Linked DNA regions of Saccharomyces cerevisiae S288C. The gene in region 3 interacts genetically with the main gene of each other region. Each region holds a gene or a part of one and is shown on either strand. Other genes may lie near its edges.

The links.
Region 1: mutations in SNC2 (region 3) and SRO7 together harm fitness more than expected from each alone (negative genetic interaction), as found in Saccharomyces cerevisiae (3 studies listed by BioGRID).
Region 2: mutations in SNC2 (region 3) and BNI1 are lethal when combined (synthetic lethality), as found in Saccharomyces cerevisiae (4 studies listed by BioGRID, with this or other methods).
Region 4: mutations in SNC2 (region 3) and GCS1 together harm fitness more than expected from each alone (negative genetic interaction), as found in Saccharomyces cerevisiae (4 studies listed by BioGRID, with this or other methods).

The regions. Positions count from the first base shown.
Region 1 is NC_001148.4:632,165-637,777, reverse strand, and holds SRO7 (Rab GTPase-binding protein SRO7), read right to left. Parts: upstream 3,656-5,613; coding exon 554-3,655; downstream 1-553. Other genes in the region: HTS1 (histidine--tRNA ligase), read left to right, coding at 1-399; NTO1 (Nto1p), read right to left, coding at 4,017-5,613. UniProt on the Saccharomyces cerevisiae protein: Acts as an allosteric regulator of polarized exocytosis by promoting the targeted fusion of vesicles with the plasma membrane.
Region 2 is NC_001146.8:128,967-136,979, forward strand, and holds BNI1 (formin BNI1), read right to left. Parts: upstream 6,418-8,013; coding exon 556-6,417; downstream 1-555. Other genes in the region: guanine nucleotide exchange factor SEC2, read right to left, coding at 1-118; arginine permease ALP1, read right to left, coding at 6,974-8,013. UniProt on the Saccharomyces cerevisiae protein: Required for the assembly of F-actin structures, such as actin cables and stress fibers. Nucleates actin filaments. Binds to the barbed end of the actin filament and acts as a leaky capper, slowing both polymerization and depolymerization.
Region 3 is NC_001147.6:929,817-932,599, forward strand, and holds SNC2 (SNAP receptor SNC2), read right to left. Parts: upstream 1,266-2,783; coding exon 918-1,265; downstream 1-917. Other genes in the region: MYO2 (myosin 2), read left to right, coding at 1-629; ATP-binding cassette multidrug transporter PDR10, read left to right, coding at 1,987-2,783. UniProt on the Saccharomyces cerevisiae protein: SNC1 and SNC2 are vesicle-targeting proteins essential for normal secretory traffic between the Golgi and the plasma membrane. They may also be involved in vesicle fusion.
Region 4 is NC_001136.10:50,395-54,046, forward strand, and holds GCS1 (GTPase-activating protein GCS1), read right to left. Parts: upstream 1,780-3,652; coding exon 721-1,779; downstream 1-720. Other genes in the region: septin SHS1, read left to right, coding at 2,051-3,652. UniProt on the Saccharomyces cerevisiae protein: GTPase-activating protein (GAP) for ARF1 and ARF2. Involved in intracellular vesicular transport. Required for transport from the trans-Golgi network.

The DNA.
Region 1 (5,613 bases), on a different chromosome or scaffold from region 3:
ATTAATTCCTCTACAACTATAAAGCCAACGGCTACACAGGTGTTCGTTATGGCTTTTGGTGGTGGTAAGGACTGGACTGGTTATTTACCCGAAAGAATGAAGGTTACTAAGCAATTATGGGATGCTGGCATTGAAGCTGAATATGTCTATAAGGCCAAGGCTAATCCTAGGAAGCAATTCGATGCTGCTGAAAAAGCGGGTTGTCACATTGCCGTAATCCTCGGTAAGGAGGAGTACTTAGAAGGTAAATTACGTGTCAAAAGATTGGGCCAAGAATTTGCCGATGATGATGGTGAATTGGTTAGTGCGGCTGACATTGTTCCTATTGTTCAAGAAAAGTTATCACAAATTCATGAAGATGGTCTAAATGAGGTCACTCGTTTAATTAAAGGATTATAAACTTGATAGCTCATGTATTTACAAACCTTCGTAAAACTAGACATGTATAATGAAAAATAAATCGATTCAAATTAATTTATAAAGCATATAGAACTAAAAAAAAATAAGTATAGAAGGAAGTTGCTCATTACCCTGTATGAATTAGTGTATGTATTTAAAAACCAAGGGCACCTTTCATTACATCTTTTCCAGTCTGCTCAACAGCCTCGTTCATTGTTTCTCCCATGGCGGTAGCATAGTCGTTGAATCTATCTTCAACGGCGTCCCATCTAGTTTCTACAGCTCGAGAAACATTTCTTAGTACCCCGTAACTACTGTTCCTGCCCTTACGGGTGGGCTTGGTATACTGGTGTTCCGGATGGTTCGCATTATTATCGTCTGAAGAACGCTCCGAGAAACTTCCCTCAGCAATGATGCTCTCTTTGTATTTGGATGCAGGTCTATTCACGCCACCCAATAATTCATTTAATTGAGCGGGAGTACAATATACAGTGCCTCTTGCCCACTGTAATGAATTTACTTGTGGCCTATAGGGAATCCTGATTCCATTGATGTACAGTGTGTCAGAAACTGGCGCTAGCGTATCCTGTTCCTTGACAGTAGAAAATAGTGACGCCTGAAATTCACTCACTCGAATCGCTATATCACCATTTCTTAAAACAGATGATTCTGTAATGTATTTTGCGGCAATTGGAAATGGAATATGTTCAGACATTTGTTCTTTGAAATCTGGAATAGTAAAAACTCTTAGATGGCCATTGATTTCTAATGTAATTATTACGGTTAGGTTCTTCCTATCATTATTTTTCTCAACGGTTGAGATGTAAGATAAACCTGTCGCGGCAAGCGGGTATTTGAAACCTTTATGTGTACTTTTAGATTTGCCCAGTGTTATTAATCTGATATCATCGAATCCAGTTATTAATACAATACCAGGAATGCAAAGGCCTTTACTTAAATTCTGCATTTTTGGAATAGTTGCCAAGCAGCTAGATTTTGTTTCCTTTGAAAATGCATCAATTTTGTGTATCGGACCCTTACTGGTAACATTAGTAATATCCATTAGTTGCACATCGAACTTTCCACCTGATGCAGGAAGAATTTTGTATGTGATTACCTCGCCCATATCAGTACCACAGACCATCAATATACTAGAGTAACCATCGTCTCCATACTCCATAATTACGAATTCGATGCAGGTAACACATGCGCTTTGAGCTCCCGAGATTTCTCTAATGTTTTCCATGTAAATGATTGCAGGACCTCTTCTATCGATCAACATAAGGCTTCCGGCAGCATATGCGATTCCAACAAATCCAATATTACTGTTGTTGATTGCAGATGTTTTCCCTTTGTTGGCATGCACGGCAGTTGATGGCATAAATCCCTGCCTAACACCGGTAGGTGCCCTGTCTCTCACATCGACGAGAACACCATTCGTATTATTCAAAGAAAACCGCCTGAAATTCATCTCCAGGTCACCGCTTTCTGGTCTGTTCTCAACACTGTAAAACTGGTTTACTTCATATTTGAATAAAACAACGTCTCCTGTTTCAATTGACACCGCCAACTCGAGAGTCTCTGCGGCAAAAGATATCTTATCAACTGCTAGTTCTTTGGCCTTGTTCAACGTTCTTGATAGATTCACTTCAAAGCTAGCATTATCTTGTATATCCCCATGGGAAGCATCGTATATCCTAACTGAGCCATTAGAATGGCCGGTAATGAATGCTGTACCGTACTCAGCGGGAAGTTTTTGCCTTTTTGTTCTAACCCCTCCCTTCAACAAATAATCCTTGTTTTGAGCTGCAGAAAGCGCACCAAGCCATAATTTGTTTGGTACAGAAGCGGCCATTGAAGTCGTGGCTAATGGTCTCAGCCAGGAAAGATTTTGAGGGAATAAAGAGGCTTTATCTGTAAATATTCCAGAAGGATATAGCATTGTTTCTATCTCACCGTTACCTAGGATTAACAAAATTAACCCCGGATTATGACATCCTGCAAAATACGGGGACTGTCTTGGAATTGGTAGTATATTCACTATTGGCACATTGGTTGGTAAGGGAAATATCTTCATTTGTTTCGGATTTGCATAGTAGTTCTTCATACCTTCATAAGAGGTTATTGAATATCTAGGTGTGTAACCGAGGTCGATCATAGTGAGACTTTGATTATCTCCTCTGCTGATTGACTTATGAGAGATGAGTAGTGAAGTATATTCTGGATTGTTTTCACACATCCAATACACTTTCGAAATTTTGGCAGCATTAGTACTAGAATCGCGTATGTAATCAGGTTGTGGAACATTGATTTCTGTCTCAAACACTGTCCTTGCCATGATCATATGGCCTGAATTAGCATCCCAGAAAACCAAGGAATTGTCTTCATGAATAGTGATAATGTGCAGTGAATTAGGGTGATATAAGGACTGAATAACTTTGGGAGTTCTCTTTTCATTGGTTTTTTCTGAGAAGTCGCCTCCTGGAGCAAAAGGTGGTAATTCGTATATGAAGGATTGTTTGATTTCGTTCTCAACCAATGAGTATGTTAGAGTTACATACTCATATGATATTAAAACAGTTCCAATATCTCTAGGGTTCCACTGAATGGATACTATAGGTGATAGTCTTGCAGCCGGAAAAAATGAGCTTTTTTGTAGGTTGTCTAATTTGAAGGAGGAAAGTTGATCCCTATCTATGTCGTAAACTATCATTGAACCATTTTGAAGGCCGATTAGCATCCAGTCTAAGGATGCATCTGTGTCAATTGATGTTATTTTCCCCGGAACAAACACTGTTGTAAGTACTTTTTGAGAATATAACGATAAAACATACACAGTATCTTTTGCGTTAATGACCACCAAATAGATACCTTTCACAAATCTCATTTCTTTTATAGCAGATCTATCCTCCAGTTTTATAACCACTTCCACTTGTTGCTGGCCATAAATATGGACTTCCCCTGTGACTGTAGCAATTGCCAATAAATTTTGGGTGAAATCGAAAGCGGCTGCGATCGGTTTACTGCTCATCCCATATTTGTTGGTTTCTGCTAGTGAAAAAATTTTATTTTTGTTATTTGAACTTATAGGAATCTTCAAAGAAGAGGAAGATTTCGCATCTTTGGAAATAGTAGATGTCTTTGAATTTTTGGATTTAAAAGACGCCTTTGAGTTCTCAATGGGTGTCTCTGAATTTTGGCCTTTTAGGGACTTAAATGCTTCCTTAACATTTTTCAGACGTTTGCTACCGAACATTTTGTTTTGCTCTTATGTGTATAGAGAATTAGTCAGAAATAGTATTGCTTGCTCTTCTTGTTTTATATTTAACATATTCCAAGATTTAAATTCTAACGTGATTAGGTTCATTTCGTTTGAATTTTCATTTTTTACTTTTAACAAAAGCGCCGAACAGGATTCTAGAAATTAAACAAAACCAACTAAACTATAAAAACGGATATTTAGTTCGGTATTGAAATGCTAAAGAATAAAGAAAAGACGACCTTTCTAAGTTATTTTTACTAAGTGTTCCATGAAAGTAAATAATAAGCCAAACTTTTACAAGAATAGCATAAAAATACATACTCATTATACATAATGCAATATTAAAACCTTTATTTTATCCGCTGTTAAGGATTAGCTTCAGCATACGGTGTTCCCCTGCACTCAGTTCTTCTGCATCGCTTAAACCTTCTTCTTCCATAATCACCGGGCCACTCCATGGTCTTTCTTCTATCTTGTCATCATTTATTATAAAATCTCTGGATAGCAACTTCTTAATATCTACATGTTCTATGAGCCCAATTAAATTTGTTACTTGCTCTTTTGCCTTTGATGAGACAGTTTGGAGTATTCTTGATGCACCGGGTAGAGTTTCCAAAACCTCAAAAAAATGCATAATTTCCTCCTTAAAAATTTGGACAGTATCAAAATCACAATGTTTACACTTTTCTAAAATAACCAATAATTTAGGTTCAGTAACCAATCTTTCAAGAGCCTTGAATTGTTCAGATTTTATAAAGATATCCAGTACATTGATTTTTAAAAGATATTTTTGGGGCGATTTAACTATATCAAAAACCTTCTTTCGGGATCTGGACAAGCTGTTTGAAGCTTGTGTTCTCTTTTTCACCAAAGTAGTCAGCTCTTTGAGCCGGTACAAGTCTTCGAGCTGATCATTGGCAAAATCTATTCTTGTTTGCACTTGTTCCTCGGTTAAGGACCCCAATGAATTATTTTCAAAACAGGCAGTTAATGGGGTACCTCCTGTAAGCTCCCTTTTCATTGACCAATATTTGCAAATATCAAATGCGCCTGCTGGTGGGTTAGCTAAGCCAAAAAAATCAACGACCTTTTGCAATATTTCAGCAAAAACATGTGGTGCTACCGGCGTTTGATTAGGTGTTTTCCAAATTGTTTTGTTGAATTTTGAATTTGTCCTATCATTAGCTTCATTATGCTGAGGAGTTTCGGTTTGTAATGTAGAGAGTAGAGAGAAGTATTTTCTAGCTTTATTAATACCTTCTATACTCGTTTGCCATCCTCTAGGTGCATGCTTGTGGCAGAAACTTTCGACTGAATACTTTTGGGAGAATTGATTAGAGGCCAATTCTTGAATAGTGCATTTCCCTTTACTCATGTAGAGACCAGCTCGACGGGCACACGTGACATGATATGCTGTAAAACAGTTTCTTTGAAAGCACTGAATGCAAGCACCCATCTTCTTTTTACAGATGTAGCAGTTAAGTTTCCATCGTGATACGCTAACATTTTGAACGCCTTCTATAGGTTCCATATAATGTAAGTTTGAAAAGTATAGCTCTGGAAGCCATAGAGCACAAATGTTATGTACCCAAGAACCGGTGTCTGTTTGTTTGAATGCACCTGTATGACTTGGACACATTAGACAAGTGGCAAAGTTATTTTTTGAGATCATACATCGTCTACATAACCATTTTCCTTCCGGGATAAAAATTATACCGTAACATTCTTGATGCACAGCAATATCGCATCCATCACAAAAGACAATTGTATTCAGATTGTCACTGTCTGTGCCTAAACAAACTGCACACGCCTGGTCCATCGATAAACCTGTTCCATCATCAGAACCATATAGCTCATAATTCTTACAGTCCCTTAGAATATTATGCCTAGCAATCAGACTATTCGTTGAGGGTATATGTTTTTCAATATGGAACCATTCAGTTTCTAGTGTA
Region 2 (8,013 bases), on a different chromosome or scaffold from region 3:
TTAAGGATTTATTAAGCTGTTCTTCTAAGTGTGACTGTTTATCCACGCTCTCGATCAATTGCGTAGACAGGGATGTAACCTGTATTGATACTCTTTTTGCTTCCTCAGAAGCATCCATATTGAAACCTTTATCAAACACAGCTAGTAAAGGAAAATATATCCCAGTGAACTAAAGGTCAAAATTTTCTACAACTTTTGGATGGAAATCAACGTTGCTACAGCTGCAAGTGACAAATGATATTATTGCACGAATCACTGTGCTTGTCACTTAGGTAAACGAGAGCCATGTTTTAAAGGTGCTTCAGCGAACGCGAAATACAAGTTCCGGGTAGTCACATGGAAACAATGGCACATAATAAAAGGAATTATTTCAAAAATGCAATAGTAGAGATCATTTGAGTAAAGATGAATGTAAAGTGTATCATAAGTGATCTATAAACATTAAAATTATATATATATATGTGATTTAATGATTCGTGACTATTTCTTTGTACTAGTGCTTGTTTGGATGTTTGTTTTGGTATTACTGTTGTCATAATTTTTTGGTTTAATATTTTATTTGAAACTTAGCCTGTTACCTGTGCTAGCCTCACCTATGGATCTTTCCTTGCGGGCCCTCAATTTTTCTAGATGTTCATCGAGTATGGAATTTTGCTTTACTGGTGTGTCAGAGCCTCTTAGCTCCTTTAATAACATTCTAGCTCTGTCACTAATTTCCTCTTGATCTTCCAGCGCAGATGTCTTGGATGGCGATGGTAAATCTTCAGAGGTATTCATAACACCCCTTGTGGCAAGCGGAGTGGGTGATTCAGCGTGAATCACTGTATCGGCAGTAGGGTCCATAGCTTCTGGAGAATAAAGAATAGACCCTTCTTCAGTATCCAAATCGTTGAGTAATTGTGGAGCGTTGTCTTTTTCAGAAAGATATTTTTTCCTCACTAGGGCTCTCTTTCTGGCGGAAGATGGGTCACTTTTAGCAGGACCTGCATTTTTCAACTGTTCTAATAGTTTATCCATAACAGCGCGCCTATCTTCTGCTTCATCCTCTTCATTTCCTTCAGATGAAGGCGAATTGCTGTTCTCTTTTTGTTTTTCCTTTTCTTGTGCCCTTTTTTGCTGTTCTTCCACTATTTTCTTATGCTTTATATAAAGTCTTTCTTCTTCTTCCGCGGCTAGATTTTGCGCTTGAGCTTTTTTGTATTCATTTATAAAATCTGCAAATTTCTTAAAGAATGAGATTTTTGCAAACTTATCACCAGAATCTTCACCGTACGTATGCATCAGACTTTCAAATTCCATGATAGTCAGCTTAACTTCGTCTTCTAACAAGTCCCCCTTTTTTCTGGCTTCCGGTAACACGGGCAATGTTTTTATCAAAACTTTATCTAATGGATGAAACTTTGAGGAATCGCTTAAATTACCAATTTCAACTGAACGCTCTACGTTTACAATCGATTGGCTAAAGTCCTTACAGTCGTTAACTAACTGCTCAATGGAAACTTTCACGACATCCAATACAGGTTCTAATTCACTTAGAAAGTCATTGAAGCTTGGATAATTTAACCTGACAATTTTTTCGACGTAATTTAGAAAGGTCATGCTATTGGTAGTATCCTTGATAAACGTCAACCTCTGCAAGGTTGAAAGTTTGAAACCTTGTGCCTGCTTAGAAGTGTCGTTCATGAAATTACCAACTGCTAAGATAACATTAAAGACATTGCGCAAGTTATCTGATTCTTGAAGCGCGCTAACAGCTTTGTCGACTTTTCTTAACTTTGCCAATAACTCATTATATTCTCTTTCATACGAAGTAACCACTGTGAGAGCTCTCATACGTGAACCCCAGTATGATTCTAGATTAACCATCAATTGCAAATAAATTTGGTCAGCCCTCTGTAAATCGTTTGGATCTTTTTCAGGGGGCTTGGCATCTTCGAGATTCCTCACGCCCTCCCAGTCTGTCGAATACGGGGCGTAATTCCTAGCTAAATTAACAGAAACTTCAATTATTTCAGATTTTGACAAAAACTCAACAACACTCGGTGTTTGCAAAAAATCCCTATCGCAGTTTAGAATCTTTTTCACCAGATCGGCAACCGAAAGTGATGAATACATATGCAAATTGATACCAAACTGTTGAGAAATATCCCTGGATAAAAATGTAATTTTCTGCAGATCTTCCTTGCGCTTGCTTGCTAATGATTTAATTTCCCTAGCGGCAAAGGCCTTTTCTAAATCAGCAAGAACACCCTTTTCGTATAAGTCATCTGCGAACTTCTCAGCTTTACCTGTACCCCAAATAGAATTATCAGTACAATCTAATTTTTCCCAATGCAGTTGCTTTAATTTCTTGTGTGGACGAGGATACTTTTCAAATAATGAGGGCGATTGAGGAAGTAATGGTGATGTTACAGCTGATTTGATTTGCGATGCCGGCATCATAGGTGGAGCTGGCGGAATGACGCCATCAGTAGATGAAGATAATACAGATGGTAGCGGCGGCGGTGGTGGTGTTTCTCCCTTGGGTTTGCCGAACAATGCCATGGGTGGAGGAGGAGGTGGTGGTGGTGGAGGGGGAGGAGCAGGAGAATCCCCAGTAGTTTCTTGCTTGACAGTGTCGTCTTCCGACTTTTTCTCTTTCTCCAACGATTCACCGAACAATTTGGCGGGAACTGGAGGAGGAGGAGGAGGAGGCGGTGGCGGCTGTGAGGAGAGTACAGATGATTGAGTAGAGAGATCTTCTGCGCCATCTGTATTATTCAGTTTACTCACAGCGCTGAAATCCGCTGTTTTATCTTCTTCATGATTTACCACACGCCCTTGCTTTCCGTTTTCCACATGTTGTCTCATGTCTTTCTCAGCTTTGTCAAAGGCGGAAGCTGCACTTGCCGTGCTGTTTTCCGGTAAAGATTTTTTATCTAGACCTTCATCTTCATTTTGTTCATATGGTTCAACTTTATTTACCTTCTGTGTTAACTCCTCTAAATATGGAGCAGAAGACACGGTGGATTTTCTGAGTCTGTTCATAAAGGTCTTTTCAACTTTACTATGTAGAGGTCCAATACCCGAACCGTTATTGTTCTCTCCAAAAGCAGCCGATGCAGTAACATTTTGACCAGTACCATATTTTTGAGATAAGGCATCGAGAAAAGACCCAGGACCTGATCCTGAAGATAGCTCTGAGTGTTCGCTCCTTAGTTCTTGAGTTGGAGATGCGTCTTGGTATATTTCCTCACTTTCATCATCAGAACTTGAAGAGGAAAGATCGCTTTCCCCATCTTCTTCTACTTGTATTTCGTGTTCGGTTTGAGTCTGAATATCTAACAACTGGTCCGTTATTCTATTAATCTCGTCTAACTTTTTCTGATATGTCTTAGGGTCAAGACTGGCATAGTTAGCGTCTTCTTCCGTTTCCACGTCCCCAGTATTTTTCTTTGGACTGTCCATAATCTCGTCGACATTAAAGTCAATACCAAATCCTTTGTATTTTGTTTCTAGTTCTTTCAGTCTCTTTAAAGCCAGAGATTTCTTTTCATTAAATAGCTCATTAACACGTTCTTCGACGTTAAATTTGGAAATATCATTACTTTCCATTTGGATTTCAGCCAAAGCCCGCCTTAGGTCATTTAGTTTATTTACGTCCGCCTCTTGAGGCTTGACTAAAGGTTTCCTATCCTTATTTTTCATCTTCTTCACTTTGGGCTTCTTAATATGTATTGGAGGTTCAAGACGATCTTTCTCAAATTCAGCAAAATTTGTCATCTCTAGTTGCCTGGCTTCATTTTCAATATTTTCCATTTGCATTCTTAACATTTTTAATCTCTTATTAGGTTGAAGTGTCATGCCGAATTTTTTTGAATCATCCTTGTAATCCTTTTTTGCTCTTGATAATCCGTCCTGTAACACCTTTTGGATATTCGCTTTCTCTGAAGAATTTAGGCTCGAGTTCATACCTCTGGTGCCTTCATTCTTATTGAAGCTTTCTTCAGGCCTCGAATTCAATATAGTCAACATTTTTCTCAATTCTACCTCTTGCTGATGCTTTTCCAAAAGATGCTTCTTTTTCAACTCTTCTAACTCAGCTTCCAGCTGCTGCATAACTCTCTGATTCTTAGCTAAAATACGATCTCTCTCATGCAACTCATCTTCTAACTGTCCAACGAGTCCGTGCTCCGCCTTGCTTAACTTTTCACTTAAAGAATCCCTTTCTGCCTGAATTTCTTCCAATTTCTTCGTTAGAGCTCTACTTTCTAATATAGCTCGACGTGCAACTTCATCAGTCTGCATGGCATCGTAAAGCCGCTGGATAGCCATATTCATATTAGTTTCTTCATCAGAAGTTGAGGCAACACTAACATTAGTCACCAAAGAATCCATAAGTTTCAATTGCTTAGTAAGTTTAGAGGAATTTTGGTTTTCTTCTATTAACTTTGAACTAGAAAGGAAAAGATGTTGAACTAAAGATACTAAAAGCTTTTCATTCTCGGTACCTTTACATATATCCCAAAGGTTTTTTAATAATGATAGTGGATCGTGTAAATCTACATTAAAAGCCTTATTGTTGGCCTCTAATTTAACGTTAAAATCGTCAAGTTTATTATTGTCATATAACTCAATTTGGTCAATTACCTTGTCGTAATCTAGCAGTTTTATTTTGTTCATAATTCGTAAAATTCCACAATTTTCTAGTTTCGTCCTTAATAGCATTCTTTGATTTATGTTATCAGAGCAAGAGCATAAATGATTGATAAAAACCATTGTCCATTGGCAGTATTCTAGAATCGCATTTTCACCCCCACCATTTTTAAATTCATCCGACGCGCCTACTAAGGAACCCATTTTTCCTCTTCCATCTAAAGTTTGTTCAACGGCAAATAACCAGGCTTGAATAATTTTCAAATGACTTTCCAAGGTTAAATGAGAGAAATACTGGGGCATTTTTTTGAAGTTTTGAATCATATGAAGATTTTGCCCTATCCTAAACTTTTTATCTAGTGAGGTAAGAACTGCTTCGAATCTGCTTTTATTTTTTTTTTCTAGCATACAAACAAAAATTTCAGTGGCCATTTTCCTTGTGGCCAGTTTCGTAGAGAATAAACCTTCTGCAACAGTATCAGTCATTAACCTATGTGTACTGAACTCATACAAACCTTGTGAGAGCATTGATAAGACTCTGAAGCATTTAAAAAATGAATTTTCTTTCTCTAATAATTCTTTAGTCAAGTTTTCTCGGGGTGCAGTCTTATAAATAGAGTTCATTAGTACATTAGCCATAGCAATGTGACCCTGATGGTCTATAAAAGCGTCTACCCAGTCTAACTGTTCAGTTCTTAAAGTTACCCATAAATCTTTCATCTCATCGCTAGTAAGTTTGTCTGCCAGGATTCGTTGCACATAATGTATCGGTGGTCTGTTTGTTCTGTCTCCTGGAAGAGTAGATGCACTCGTATTGTTCTCAGCCCCACCTCTATAAATATTGTTTAGAGATGGCTGCTTTTTCAAACTCCCGCTCACTAATTTTTTCCCCTTCGAGGTTGACGTACCTACCGATGAAAGAGTAGTAGAATGATTTAAACTGTTGCTGTATACAGTTGAGGTGGGAGAAGAGGCGCTTGTCATCAAAACAGATTTGGGAGACGAAAGAGATGAATTAGCCGTAAGGATAGGATGATGGTCCGACGCCATCGAAGTTCTGGAGGCAGTGGAAGAAGATGTAGTGTTTGCTCGCATTTTTTTTAGCTCATTTTGTAAATCCTGCTTAACAATCAGCCATTTCTTCTCAATGCTGTAGCCCATCAGAGCTTCTTGTTTGTCCTCTGATAAAGACTGAAAAATATTTCTTTTATACATAATATCTTCAAACAAAACTTCCACCTCGTATGGGTCCGACGGCATTTCTAAATAAATTTTACCATCGGGTGTAGTGAATTTGCTCAAGTTAGTTAGCGAACCTTGAGAGAGAAGACTTGATGCGGAGTGACTTTGCCCGGTATGCTGCCTTGTTAGCTTATTGGACGCCTGTGAAGAATTCCTCTTGGAATACGAATATTTCGATTGCATTGAATGCGACCTTGCGTGCTGTGAGGATACGGGAACATCTCCACTTAATTTACCATTCATATATTGAGACAAGTTTTGTGTGTTTAATGTCGATTTTTTATTCAACGGCCTCGCCTCAGTAGATGTAGACCTAGAAGGTGCATTCAGTTTTCTAAAAGATGACGAAGATGCAGGTGAAGTGGACACTTCGTTTCCCACTGGAGAGTGCTGTTGTTGGGATGCATAGGTCGGAGAACCCGTATTGCTATTCGTTGCATTTGAGTTAGCCAAACGCTTCAAATTTTGGAATATACCAGAACTCGAATTCGAATGACTTTCCTTTGAGTTCGAATGTTTGGAGCCTGAATTCTTCAACATTTCCTTTCCTTCTCTTCCTTTCTTGCTTCTCGTTTGTTGAAAAGGTTCAGGTGCCTTCTTTATGTGGCGTGTATTTAGAATTTAACTAGGCTTGAGTTAAAATGTTTCTCCTCAATACAGAAGATAGATACAAATGGCAAAAAAAAAAGTAAAAAATGGCCCAACTGTATGAGACGTATAAAAAACGTGAAGGGTGAAGAAAAGAATGCCACTGTCCAATTTTATGCTTAATACGAAAATAATTAACACACAGCCGTCAGTGTCCTCTTATCTGTAGGAAGGGTCCGTGCTATTGTTCTTAAAAGGGATTCTAGTTTTCCACATCTGTTTTTTCTTTCTTTCCCTCTTCCACGTCAAAAACTTCCTCTAACCGATGTCGGGTAAGCCATGGAAATTACGGGCGATGACTTTCGGCGGCTAACAACGAAACAACTAGGGAGTAATCATATAATCACAGGAAAAGAGTTGAGCAAGGATTTGGCAAATATACATATACATACATACATACATACATACATATATATGTGTGTGTGTGGTATGGAGTATTATTCTAAAATTATGAAAGGACATCCCAAACTCGTTGCCACCTTGTTTTACATTCTGGCTCTATCCATACCAACTCCTCTATTTGCCGGCGGTCAGAATCGATATCGATATCCTGCAGCTTCCAGAGTAAGCGGCACTTAAACCAAACTTGGAATGATAACCATATGGCCAAAAATAGGAATATTGATATATATGCAGCGACAAAGTCTATAGGCTGAAAAGTAGGTGCGAAAGCGGTGAAGCCCTGGATCAGAACAATTAGAGCGATGAAAAAAGATGCATAATATGCCAAAAAAGGCATCATTTGAGCTTTATAAGGTAAGTCATCCCTCGATATACCACGTTTCCTTATGGCTTGCATGAAACGGATATGAGAAAATGAAATCAAAAGCCAGGCAAAGAAACCGGCCACACCAGTTATGTTCAATAACCAGTTAAAGGCCTTGCCGCTGCCTGCAGAAACCTCTAAGAAAGCCAAAAATCCGAACACGGATGTAGATAGAACAGAAAAGTATGGAACACCACCTCTGGTCACGTTAGACAAGAACCTTGGCGCCAAGCTATTTTTAGACAGACTATACAGTACTCTTGAGCCAATGTACACATTAGAGTTACCTGCGGAAAGAATGGTGATTAGCACGACCGCGTTAAATATATCTGGGAGAACTTTTGTGCCTGAATTCTCAATGCTTATCATAAAGGGCGATGAAGAGACAAATATACCGTCACTATCCAACTTTGGGTCATTATATGGGACCAAAAGGCCAATGAAAAATAGTGAAAGAATGTAAAAGACTAGAATCCTCACTACAACTTTCTTTATTGCCCTCGGGAGAGCTTTTCTTGGGTTAGCCGCTTCACCAGCGGTTATCCCAACCAGTTCAGTACCTTGGTACGTAAATGCAGCATTAATCAAAGAGGAAACCCATCCGAGAAAACGGCCCTCATTTTTATCACTGGAGATAATGCCAGGCCCCCAGGCTCCTGGATTTCTCCAGTACCTGAAACCGATGGGTCCATCAGATTGTCCCGCACCACACACAACACAGA
Region 3 (2,783 bases):
ACTGGTGCATGAAATCTTTTCATATTGAGAATGAAGTGTTCCATGCTGTAGTCACAACCTTATTGAATTATGTGGATGCAATTTGTTTTAACGAATTAATCATGAAACGTAATTTCTTGTCGTGGAAAAGGGGTCTTCAATTGAACTACAACGTTACTAGATTAGAGGAATGGTGCAAGACGCATGGCTTGACAGATGGTACTGAGTGCTTACAACATTTGATTCAGACCGCTAAGCTACTGCAAGTCCGTAAGTATACTATCGAAGACATTGATATCTTAAGAGGAATTTGTTATTCGCTAACACCTGCACAATTGCAAAAATTGATTTCACAATACCAGGTGGCAGACTATGAGTCTCCAATTCCACAGGAAATCTTAAGATACGTTGCTGATATAGTTAAGAAAGAAGCTGCGTTATCTTCATCAGGTAATGATTCTAAGGGTCACGAGCATAGCAGCAGTATATTTATCACTCCAGAAACAGGTCCATTTACTGACCCATTCAGTTTGATAAAGACAAGAAAATTTGACCAAGTAGAAGCCTATATACCAGCGTGGTTATCCTTGCCCTCAACTAAGAGAATAGTTGACCTTGTTGCCCAACAAGTCGTTCAAGACGGCCACTAAAACTGATGGCGCGAGAAACAAAATTGTACATGAATGCTAAAAAAAGAAATGACAAAAAAAGAGAAAAAAAAAAATGAAACTACATAGTTAATTAATAATAGAAGTATTTGTCAATAGTATGATAATGAAATCGATATTATGGAAGATATTAACCGCGCGCCGTATTAGTGTACACTATATTAAACTACATTTTGCTTCTTACTGAATTTATAAATTATGATTATATTATTATTACTATTATGACTACTGTATATATTTTTTAGAATTAGCATCGGGAACCGATGAGCGTTAGCTGAAATGGACGACGATAGGAACGATAATTACCACTAGTAAAATAATAACAACTAAGAATAAACACATTCTCATTTTTAGATCTTTCCACCACATTTGCTTTCTGACCCTGTTGGCGCCTCTCTTGAATCCTTGTGCGGAGATAGCCAAGTTATCAGCTTTGTCCTCAATGGATGTTAGCCTTTCACCACGTTCAGCAACCTTGTTGATATTATCTCTCATTATTCCCACCGTGTCATCAATCTCTTGTCTCAAAGCAGCAGTCTTGTTTTGGGAATTTGGGTTTGCGCCTGAGTTACTCTCCTCTGGAGGCACATATGGATCGTATGGCACTGATGACGACATCGTTGCGCGTTCTTATTTTGTATTTGGAAGTGTTTCGAATGTATGCCTGACTTACAGATACTATTCACTGAGCAGATAGTTTACCTTTCTATAAAATATTAAAGGCTGTTTCAACCAAAACTTGAAGGAAAACTAACTGGCTCCCCGCTTTTGCATCTTTTGGGTGCGACAACTGGTGTTTGTTTGGTTGCGCTGCACCATTCGCGCTATAATGCCAAAATCCGAAGAATTTTGAGCCACTTTTGCGGAAGACAGGGAGAAAAAATAAAAAAAAAGTCACGCGTATATCATGTGACCAAGATCACTATAAACGCTCCGTGGAATGCGCTTTTAGGGCGACTGAATGATTCCATGGTCATTGTTACAGCCGCCCGTGGCTTTGTTCCACGGACTGATAAAGGGATACGCTAAGACCAGAAAAACCCTTAATATTCAATATAGTACAGTACTACTACAGAATTGGTCGGCATATTTTTATTTTGTTCGTATTAATAATACACCTGCTGTCATCAGTACCAATAATTTGATAGGTTTTCCCCACATAGTGCGCCTTATGTAAGTATATAAGGAAGGACGGTTGGGCAAGCATCTTACTTTCTTATCTCTCCCCGTGACAGAACCATAGAAGATATCTAGCGTTATTATATTTCTATACTTAGTAAACGTTTCCGGTATAGTAGAAAAATCAAACAATAATTTCTGGTCTTACATAGTTGTTAGGATGTTGCAAGCGCCCTCAAGTTCAAACTCGGGTTTGAATCAAGGAAATGCTGCGCCGGACGGCCCACCTAACGAAACACAGCCGTACGAAGGCCTCGACGCGGCAGCTCAAGAAGAAATAAAAGAATTGGCAAGAACGCTGACGAGCCAATCTTCCCTTTTATCGCAAGAAAAGCGTATTACCGGCACTGGCGACCCGAATACACTAACTGCTGCTTCTTCATCGTCATTGAGCCGGTCAATTTTCGCTAGTGATATCAAGGGAGTTAACCCAATCCTTTTGGACGTCAATGATCCAGACTACGATGAGACATTGGATCCTCGATCAGAAAATTTCTCGAGTGTCAGATGGGTACGAAATATGGCACAAATATGCGAGAATGATTCGGATTTCTATAAACCGTTTTCATTAGGTTGCGCCTGGAAAGATTTGAGTGCCTCCGGTGATTCTGCCGATATAACATATCAGGGAACATTTGGTAATATGCCCATCAAATACTTGAAAATGAGTTGGAGGTGCATATCCCGACGTCTTTTCCACCGGACACATGGCAAGAGTGAAGATAATGACTCCGGTTTCCAAATTTTGAAGCCGATGGACGGATGCATCAATCCGGGGGAACTACTTGTTGTGCTTGGACGACCCGGTGCAGGATGTACTACGCTGCTGAAATCTATATCTGTAAATACACACGGATTCAAGATTTCTCCGGACACAATCATCACGTACAATGGATTCTCCAACAAAGAGATCAAAAACCATTACCGTGGTGAAGTGGTCTACAATGCAGAATCAGA
Region 4 (3,652 bases), on a different chromosome or scaffold from region 3:
CAGAAATATCATTAAAAAACAATCCATAACTACTAAGGAAGGGTATAAATGGTTTGGTTTACTAATTTTATATTTTGATTTGATTAGCAATTATAATCTCTAATATACTATTTCTGTAGCCAAAAATCTGCAATGTCAATAAGTAGCAAGTGCCGCTTACTCGTGAGAATATCAACCTTATAGCATATGTTTTCTATTTTTTTTTTTTGCTTATGGAGATAATGAACATTGTACACATGAACAAAGTGGTAGTTCTCTCTCCTTGATTTTTTGTGCTTGCGATATATATAATTGTTACATTCAATGGCCATGCTAAATAAAGGTTTTAGCTTTGTTTCACTCGTGCCCAGGATAATTTTAAGGCGCAAACATCCAAATAATGAAGAAAAGGATAACGATTGTCCCAGGTCTAAAACATTTTTTAATAATAGCCGTCATTAGCCTTGCAACAGTACAACAACGCCGATGGGAAAGGATTGCAATTCTATTTGTAATTAATAGGTTGTATAATAATTTACGATATGGCCTTGTGGTAACTATTTATGAATACTGGTGTAGACTTATTTATAATCCTAGAGAGTAAACCTCTTCTTGTCAAGATATGAAAAATACAAATTTAGAGACAGAAGTATTACGTGTAAACTTTACAGAACCACTTCTCCATTATAGCTACAATGTGAATTGAACTTTCCTTGAATGTTGAGAAAAACTATATTAAAATTAGAAATCGTCCCATTTGTCCTCGTCCTGTTCATTCTTCTTATCGTTATTATCAATCTTTTGATATTCTGTATGGGTTGTATTCCCTGCTGTAGAGCTATCCTCTGCATTACCATTGAAATTTTTAGTGAAGTTACTAAATGCTTGGAATCCATAACTACTCGTTTCTTGAAACTTTTGGCCAAACTGGGCAGCTGCTCTCTTCGTTTCTTCTGACAACTCTCCGGATTGCCATTGCTGGACGTGAGGCTTAATAACCGTTTCGTTTACGTCCTCGAACGATTTGGTTACAGCGCTGGAGAAGAGGCCCCATCCTCTGCTCAATGTTCCCAAAGGATCAGCTTGAAAATTTTCCAGGCTCAAAGTATTGCTGGACCCTGCAGACCGTTCTTGTGGAGGTTTTGCGGGTGTACTTCCAAAGCCCTGATATTTACCACCTTGAGAAGGGGGCAAATGATCTGGTCTAGATTGGTTCTTCTTGCCCAGCTCAGCAAAATAAGCTTCGTTCTTCTCCTTTTGAAAATTGGCACCATTACTAGAGTTTGCTGGTGTTGCAGATCGACGGTTCTCCAGTGGTGTCCCTTCTCGACTTTGAGCAACACCAGGCGTAGCGGATGCAGCGGTTTGAGAGGTTGCTGATAACTTGGAAGCATCAAAATCCAAATGCTCACGCTCTTCAAATACTCTATCTTCGCAAAGACATGTTAACTTTTCTTTATAATCCTCTGCGACGGGGTTATCGTATTTCACTTTTTGTGGTAAACTCAGGTCAATATTATGCGACTTGAACCATTCAGTCAAAGGTTCGTTACCACCTTTTTCCATACGAAGAAGTTCCTCCGGTTTAAACTGATCCATAGTGATAGATCTTACAAAAGATATATGCACACCAAGCCCTCTATGGATACCGGCACATTCAAGGCAAATGAAAGCTCCAAACTTAGGCGTGGCCCATTGTGGATTTGGCGCACCACAATCCATACATTTCTTATTTGCACCAATCTTTTGCAATTGCAAAAGACGCCTGCGGGTATCTGGGTCCACTTTCCAATCTGACATGCTCTATAATCCGCGATAAAATTGCTCAATTGGCACCATTTAAACTCAGAATCACGTCCATATTTCTGCTTTCATTCTTGATATAGTTGTGCAATTTGGTTCTTGACAAAAACTGGCGTTGCTTGCGGGTAACCGCGCGATTTTTAAAGTGCCAAACTGCGAAAAGAATATAACAAGCTTTCGAGCAAGATCAATGTACCCAGCAAGTGAAATAATAAAACAAGAGCCCCAAAGATCTGCTTATAATTGCTAGAAAAATATATTATTAATCATGAGCACTGCTTCAACACCGCCAATTAACTTATTTCGTAGAAAGAAAGAACATAAACGTGGGATCACATACACAATGTTACTATGTGGGCCAGCAGGTACAGGAAAGACCGCCTTTGCTAACAATCTATTGGAAACTAAGATCTTTCCGCATAAGTATCAATACGGTAAATCAAATGCTAGTATTAGCTCTAACCCAGAAGTAAAAGTTATTGCTCCGACAAAAGTTGTTTCATTTAATTCGAAAAATGGGATTCCATCTTATGTTTCTGAATTCGATCCAATGAGAGCCAATTTGGAACCAGGTATTACCATCACCTCCACTTCATTAGAACTTGGGGGCAACAAAGATCAAGGAAAGCCAGAAATGAACGAGGATGATACCGTGTTTTTCAACTTGATTATGACGCATGGTATAGGCGAAAACTTGGACGATTCGTTGTGTTCTGAGGAAGTTATGTCGTATTTAGAACAACAATTTGACATTGTTTTAGCTGAGGAAACCAGAATTAAAAGGAATCCGAGGTTTGAGGACACCAGGGTTCACGTAGCATTATATTTTATTGAACCCACTGGACACGGTCTGAGAGAAGTCGATGTAGAGCTCATGAAAAGCATCTCCAAATACACAAATGTACTGCCAATAATAACAAGAGCTGACTCATTCACCAAGGAGGAGCTAACTCAATTCAGGAAAAATATTATGTTTGATGTGGAAAGATACAACGTCCCAATTTACAAATTTGAGGTTGACCCTGAAGATGATGATTTGGAATCCATGGAAGAGAATCAAGCCTTGGCATCCTTGCAACCATTTGCTATTATAACTTCAGATACCAGAGATAGTGAAGGTAGATACGTTAGGGAGTATCCGTGGGGGATAATATCAATCGACGACGACAAAATTTCGGATTTGAAAGTTTTAAAAAACGTCCTGTTTGGTTCTCACTTACAAGAATTCAAAGACACCACGCAAAATTTGCTTTACGAGAATTACCGTTCCGAAAAACTATCGTCCGTGGCCAACGCTGAAGAAATTGGTCCTAATTCTACAAAGAGACAGTCAAATGCTCCAAGTTTAAGCAACTTTGCCTCTTTGATAAGCACTGGTCAATTCAATTCTTCTCAAACTCTTGCAAACAATTTGAGAGCGGACACACCAAGAAACCAAGTAAGTGGAAACTTTAAGGAAAACGAATACGAAGACAATGGCGAACATGATTCAGCAGAAAATGAACAGGAAATGTCTCCCGTGAGACAGTTGGGTAGAGAAATAAAACAAGAAAATGAAAATTTGATAAGATCTATCAAAACAGAATCTTCACCAAAATTCTTGAACTCTCCGGACTTACCAGAGCGTACCAAGTTAAGAAATATTTCAGAAACCGTTCCATATGTCTTGAGACATGAAAGAATTTTAGCAAGACAACAAAAACTGGAAGAGTTAGAGGCCCAGTCAGCTAAAGAATTACAAAAAAGAATTCAAGAATTAGAAAGAAAAGCACACGAATTGAAATTGAGGGAAAAACTAATAAATCAGAATAAACTAAACGGTTCATCATCTTCAATCAATTCTCTACAACAGAGCACAAGGAGCCAAATT